2 linked regions of the Mus musculus genome follow. The protein of the gene in region 1 binds, or shares a complex with, the protein of each later gene. Links are inferred from orthologs where the notes say so. Each region holds a gene or a part of one and is shown on either strand. Other genes may lie near its edges.

Region 1 (3,651 bases):
AAAAGGTCTACCAGCCAGAGCTAAATAGTGATACCCTGTCTCAACAATAACAAGAATAAAGAAAGGGAAGGAAGAAAGAAAGGGAGTGAGGACCAATCAATCCCATTGTAAAATCTTCCTCCATGGCAACTACGCATCCAAACAGTCAGCATGGCATCTTCAGCCAGCAAAGATCAGCTCTAGGAGGAAGAGCCCTCAGAGCAGACAGGTGCTTAGTGACCTCTAGGAGTCCCTAAAGCTACCTCTTCCCCCACTCCTGCCCACCTGAGGCGTCGTCGAGGGTCAGAGGGTGTTCCTGTCCGACGGGCAGTACCATAATCAGACATCATGCCGTAATCGAGGTCATCATAGCCCATGCTGCGCTGGTCATCCTCTAGCCCGTAAGGCTCAGGATGAAAACGATGCAGGTCCACACTGCTTCCACCTACTCGAACCTGGGGCTGGGGCCCATAGACATCTTGTCTACTGGGTGCCCGGTAGCCTTCCATGCTGGGCCTATACCGCTCCTCAATTCGGGTCACCCGGGACAGACTGCCGTAGTTGTCACTGCCACCTGGATAACCATCTTCATAGTGTCGGCCATACCCATCTGGAGGATAGTGGAAGTTCCTAGGAAGAGTGGCAGTGCCCGCTTGCCCCACATAGGGACCAGGGCCCCCATTGCCATTCTTGCGAAAATCACGGCCCAAGGTCTGGATATAGTTATTGGAGACTGCTGAGGCGTCCACGGGCAGCCCGTCTGGCCCCATGGGGACAGGCTGTACTGTCCGAGTTGTCATTGTCTTCACAACTTTTTTGACCTTCATTTAAGGAATAAGAAAAGGAAAACCAACTATTGAGGAAATAAAGAATCTAAGTTTAAATTCCACAGTACTCTAAGATAGAAACCCTACCCTCTAGGTCTTTATACAGAAGTGTGTGTCATCTATATCTCTTCTCCATCCTACAGAAGCCCTCAATGGAAAAAAACTGCCCAATCACTAACATCCTCTCCGGAAGCTACTGTAACTGTCATACTCCTCCTCTCTTCCCACTTCCTGAACTTCTTTTACCTTGTCTCTTTGCCCAGGCATCACTTTCTTTCTGGCAGACAGTGGCTTTGGCTCACTTAACTCGTTAGCTTCTCTACTAAAATACCACAGAGGACCTATCATTCTAAGACACGAAAATCTCAGCTTACTGTGGTCTCCGTGCGTCTAGTGGTCCCATCATCTGTGGTCTCCACAGAAACAACAGACATGGCTCCTTCAGGGTCCTCCTCGGTGTAGGTTTCCACAATCTGTCCTGGCTCCTGCATCCTGGGGATAGTGCTGTACAGAAGGTGGTTGTGATCCTATGAGAGAGAAAAGAGTGAAAATACAACTGAACCTATGTAGTAACAATCTATTCTAGTAAGAAACACAGGTGCCTCTAGAGACAGGAGGCCTTCATGCATCTCCCATTGTCCTCAGGGGTTTTTAATAAAAAATGGTTGTCATCTTTAATACTTGTACAAAAAGGCAGGGCATGGTAGTGTACACCTTTAATCCCAGCACTCAAGAGGCAAATGCATGCAGACCTGTAAATTCAAGCCTACCCTAATATACACAGCAAATTCCAGGTCAACTAGGACCACATGTAAAAGGACAGAAAATAAAACTTCCTAGTACTAGCTATCTAACACATATAAGTTTAAAAAGGTAACTAGAATCATGCTGACATTGCAGTGACTGGGACAGCAGGTTACCTCCCATTCTGGTCCCCGACTTGGATATTAACTGTGTTAACTGTAATATTTACACTGGAGCAATACTTCAAAAAGAACAGCTTACTCAGTAAAGATACGGATTTTAAAAAATAATAAAAATACCAGGTTTTTGCTTTGTTTTGGGTAGCTAGGCAAGCACCCCACCTGCCACTGAAAACATTTGGAGCCTCCTCCTACTTTTACTTTGGGATAAGGTTCCAGCAATCTCCCAGGGAGGCCTTGAAACTTTTGATCCTCCTGCCACAGCCTCCTAAGACACTAAGATTAGATTTGCCCCATCAGGCCCAACAAAGATTTTGTTATTCATCAGATTCGTTCATCTCCTCAGTTAGATTTTAGGTAAGCTTTTCTACAATGTAAAATTATGCTCTCCCTCAAAACAATTGCAGTTTTTGGAGGATCAAATGAGATAGGAATACCATGAGAAAAGCCAATGATTAAAAAAAAAATCAGCAAAACTATAATTTGAAATGGTACCTTTTTAATTTCCAAAATTAAAAAACTAGTAAATATTTACGATGAGCACTGCAGCATAGCAATATGATCATAAAGACTGGAGAGGTACAAAGATGTGAATGAAGTCCCTAGACCTTGAGTGGAAACAATTACCTGGGGTCCGTTGAGTTTCAGATCTGAAAATTTCTGTCTCTCAAGGTCAGCATCGCCCACAAACCGGCCGTTCTGAAACAGAGCCCACAAAACAATTCATGTTCTGGCTGACCTTTGTTCTGTCTAAGACAGCATCTTTCTTTCAAAAATGAAAGGGCTTTTGAGAAGGTATTTGTGGACTGAAATCCTTCTGTCGGTACTCACATAAGAACCATAACACTCCATAACAATCTTAGATACCACTTTCCTCTACAGGCCTAGAATTCTGGCAGGTGGGATTTCTGGAGCATGAGAATGTAAGTTCCATGAGTACACAGGGTTTGAGTCCAGTAGTTTCAAGGCTACTAACATCCCTAACATCTTGAACAGTACTTGGCACATTAGAAGCATTCAAAGACCATTTGCTTAATAACACAGACTCAGGTAAGCTCCCTACAGAAAACCTTTTGGAAAGCTTTAAGAATGTAAGTTAGGAAGGCTACAATGGGGGGTGGCGGAAGGGGGGAGGGTGTCCACAAAAAGCCTCCTTTTATTATCGTTCTAGGAATCTTCAAGCTGTGGTACCAGGGTAAACTCCCATTCCAGGAAGCTCTTGAATGAAGAGAGTAAATTCTCCATTTCCAAATACGAAGGAAAGTACTCAGCAACGCCCCTCAAAAAAAGTCTTCAACGTCTTTAACAAGTTACAGCTACAGAACACATTCTCAAACGTTGTTAAATTGTTCTATGTTAAGCACCAAGACATAACCTAATGAGACTGCATATATAAAGCACATGTCTTGCCCCTCCCAACAGAATACAACTAGATCCAATAACCTTGGGATCTTCTTCCACCCATTCCCCCTTTACATGCAGTGTAATGCTGCAGCAGGGGAGGAAGTTAACCATTGCTTTCAGGAAGAAGGAAGGGTGTGGTTTCATTGCAGAGCAGAGGTTAAAAATAAAAGAAGAAGATAAACCACTAAATCCTGGGATTCCCCACCACCTTAAAGTCTGAGCACCCCACTTTCCTTCAGTGTGTCTCATCCCTAACTCTCTACACTCAAGTTCCTGAAAATTTCCTTGAACGTTGTTGTTTATTTCATGGTCCTGATTATTCAAATGATATCTACTAGCTTAAGGATTAAGCAAGCAACTGGGCACGATTGTAACCCTAGCACTAGGGAAACAGAGACAAGAGGACCACAAGGTTGAGGTCAACCTGAGCTATGTACCAATACCTAATCTTCACAGACCCAAAGGTCTGGAAATGTTGTTTAGTGGCATGCACAAGACCCAGGATTCCATCCCCAGCT
Region 2 (3,651 bases), about 94 Mb from region 1:
TCAGCCATGCTCAGGCACCTAGACACCTGTGCACTGCTGTAACCATGGTTACCGCAAACATATGCTCACCTTTGGACCATGTTCCTCTGTGGATTCCATTGTTTACATAATTGCCTGCACATGGAAACTGAATTTCGGTTAATTAGCGTGTCTGGAAACCTCTGACCTGCACTAGCCTGGAGTTCGTCCTTATCTCCCACCCGTGCAGAGAATGTCCTGTTGTCCTGTGGCCAGTGAAAGGGGCTGAGCCCCCAGGAAGCACTCACCTGACAGAACCATAAGTGCTGCACCAACTGGGGACAGGGCCCACCACAGGAGCCATGTGTCCGAAGGCTCCTCACATTCAGAGCCACTGCGGCAGGAGCAGATTCTCACGTGGACTGTCTGCTTCTGGGCGAGGCCCTGTCTGTCAGCTATGAAGAGTGGCACCAAGTAATCCCCGGGCGGGACGCTTCTCAGCATTGTGAGTTCAGCAGAGTGGCCTGCAAGAGCAGAAAGACATGAGTGAGCTCATTGGCCCCCTGTGTATCTCCTTGCTACTGTCCAGGGCTGTGGCTCTGAGAGTGGGACAAGACAGAAACTCAGAAAAGCAAGGAGCAGATAGGACAGAAAAGAGGACCCTTGTCCCAGGAACTGGATAGTCTTTCCTGCTGGACACCCATTGATGCTTTCAAAATTGCCTTCAACAAGGACAGCGCATAATTTCCTAACCACACCTCAAATGAGGATACAAGATAAAGTGTGCTAACTTGGGCCAAAATGATCTACAGCCCTGAGTTTTCAGCACCCCTTATTCTTGAATATAAGCAACACTCCTCATGAACCTATGTTACAACTTTATTGATAGAAGAAATGCCTGTAACCTTTAAACTTTACTGTAAATTATACTATCTAAACAAGCACCTTTAAAAAGTTCCAGGATCTGATCTACACACCCACAGGATCTTGCCCATACCTGCCTAGATCTTTTCAATACCCACATGACCCAACTTAGACCCACAGGATCCTGCCTCTACCAATAGGGCCTAACCTATACCCATAAGATCCTACCTAAGCCCATAGGATCCTGTCTACACCCACAGGATCCTGCCTACACCCACAAGATCCTGCCTATACCCACAGAATCCAGTCTATACCCATAGGATCCTGCATATACCCACAGAATCCAGTCTATACCCATTGAATCCTGCCTATACCCACAGAATCCAGTCTATACCCATAGGATCCTGCATATACCCACAGAATCCAGTCTATACCCATTGAATCCTGCCTACACCCACAGATGCTGCCTACACCCACAGGATGCTGCCTTTGACTCATCCATGCTCCTGTAAGAACCCCCATCTTGTCAAGCTGGGCTAGGATGAAGTCCTCCCTTTGGCCTGTCAGTCTCTCTAACTGGGATAAGTAGACATTTCTTTACATCTTCCCCACAAAAGCTCATGTGGTAGCATGCTCTTGGACTCAAAGAGCACCGTTCACATTGTTACAGCCATTGCTGCTCTTCACTACAAGGACAAGGACCCAGATGAAAATTAGGAGAGAGAAGAGAAGAGACCGACATCTGAGTGTGCAGCCATCTTCATCCATGGTGTCAAGAAGGCCAGCAGTGACAGCAGGCATGTAATACCCCACTGAGGCAAGTTCACCCCAGACCTCATGTCCAGAGTCCTTTCTGGCAGGGCTGGTCTCCCACAAAATGCACTCCAGACTTTAGGCTCTCCAAGTGTACTTGAGACTAGATGACTTAGTGTCCCCCACCCTAAATCACAGTTTGTTCCAGTCTGAATTAGCCTCCAACACATACAAACCTTCCCCCTGCTTTGTCCTCAGCATCCAAGTCTCTTCCACGTCTCCCTGAGCATTGTCCAAATCAAAAGTAAAGGGGTCAGCGTAGGGGTCCAGATCTGCATCCTCAGCTTCTATCAGCAGGGGCTGGCTCCCAGCCGACTCACAGACCTCCAAGTGTCGGGAATGGGGCCGGAGGGTTGGAGCATTGTCGTTGACATCAGATAGGAAAAGCATCAGAGTCCCCGTGCCAGTCAGCGGGGGAAGGCCTTGGAGAGGACAGAACCCAGGCAATAGAAGTTACAATATTAAAGAGAGAGGGTAAACATGAACTTACAGAACAGTAGTATCAGTAGCTCCTGAAGAGTGGGGTGCCTGTGAGAGTCCATAGCCTCTCTGTCAGGGTGTGGCCCTGCTTGGTAGACTCTTCCAGTGCAATCATGATCACTCGGGCATGCTCGCGCGCATACACACACACACACACACACACACACACACACACACACACACAAGTATCGGAGTATTGGGCAGCATGAACTGTTCCTGATGGGTTTTAAAAGAAGAAGTAGAAATAGAATCACATGTCCTGTCAGTCAGTCATGGTACGTGCAGTGGTGCTGGGAAGGAATTGGGTACCTCTCAAAGGGGAGCATGGGGGATCCCCAGGGAAGATGAGGTCAGCTCCAGCCTGTGGGGACATTGCCTATGATGACAGACTACACCATCTTATAAAGTGTACTGGGGAAAGCTGGGAAAAGGAGGCTGTGATGCTAAAACCACACGTGAGTCAAGTTCAGATACTAACAGCTTTGTGGATCATGGAGGATGGATCTTCCCTTATGATCAGCAGTTGGTGAAAACAGGGACAGAAACGCAGGACTCTGGCCCAAGGTGGAGACATGGCAATCAATCAGACTGCCTGTTGATCATTGCTACCCACTAAAGGTTTTCTGGTAATGAGCAAAGACCTTACAGACACTGGAAAGGGAAATGCCCCCTCGAGGAAGAGCCAGGTTTAGAGACTGTAGGAAAAGTATAAGAGGCCTGACCAACAATGAAAGCTATTGGTGGTCTCTCTGGCCACTAGCCACTCTCCTCCAAGCGTAATTTGCTTTCCTCCTCAGTGGGCCCTATGGCCACTGTCCGCTCTCATTCATTCAGGTGCCCACTTTCCTCTGTAATAAACTCTCTTGTCTCTCCACTCCAGGACATCATTTCTGAATTATTCTGATGGACTGGGGACCCCAAGGGAGGGCAGGATAGGACCATGGCAACAAATTTATGATCATTTAGAAATCACCTTTTGTAATTAAAAATAGATTAGGGAATCATGAAGCCATCCATAACAGAATCATGGAACCCTGAGTGCCGAATGGCTGGCTTCCCTTCCTGTACATCGGCTAGCATCTTGCTTCCCTAACATTCCACCAGATAATTATGCAAATGGGCTGGGCGGGTCCACAGTGCTTGGGCTTTCATCCACAGAGTTCTTTAAGTATGATCCTTAATGTTACTTGAAAATGTTCACACATGCAGCTTTATATTTGGATGCGTTTAACTTCAGCCTTGTGGGAATATTGAGAAATGTGCTAAGGCATGTTTTAAAAATCACTCGTCCTGGTTTATGACAAATGTGTTCCACTCAGTCACATTTGCTGGAGCTTACAAGCCGTCCCAGGTACGGGAAACTGCTAAATATTTATCACACATCGTTGGGCTTGACAAAGAGCTACTGCATTATCTTACGGGCAGATGAGACGGGTGGGCATGATTGCAGACTCCTCACTGGCTTAATTGTCTCTGCTGAGTGAACACTGCCCCTCTTTCAGCAGTATTGGTCCCTGGTTTGCCATTATGGGAGTT

Evidence for each region.
Region 2: Ctnnd1 (region 1) and Cdh26 share a complex: the UniProt entries of both Homo sapiens proteins name them as parts of the cadherin:catenin adhesion complex. The link is inferred for Mus musculus from reciprocal best matches to the Homo sapiens genes CTNND1 and CDH26.

Annotation. Positions count from the first base shown.
Region 1 is NC_000068.7:84,619,655-84,623,305, forward strand, and holds part of Ctnnd1 (catenin delta-1), read right to left. Parts: intron 2,429-3,651; coding exon 2,357-2,428; intron 1,334-2,356; coding exon 1,181-1,333; intron 801-1,180; coding exon 265-800; intron 1-264. UniProt on the Homo sapiens protein: Key regulator of cell-cell adhesion that associates with and regulates the cell adhesion properties of both C-, E- and N-cadherins, being critical for their surface stability.
Region 2 is NC_000068.7:178,468,415-178,472,065, reverse strand, and holds part of Cdh26 (cadherin-like protein 26 isoform a precursor), read right to left. Parts: intron 2,058-3,651; coding exon 1,812-2,057; intron 483-1,811; coding exon 267-482; intron 1-266. UniProt on the Homo sapiens protein: Cadherins are calcium-dependent cell adhesion proteins. They preferentially interact with themselves in a homophilic manner in connecting cells; cadherins may thus contribute to the sorting of heterogeneous cell types.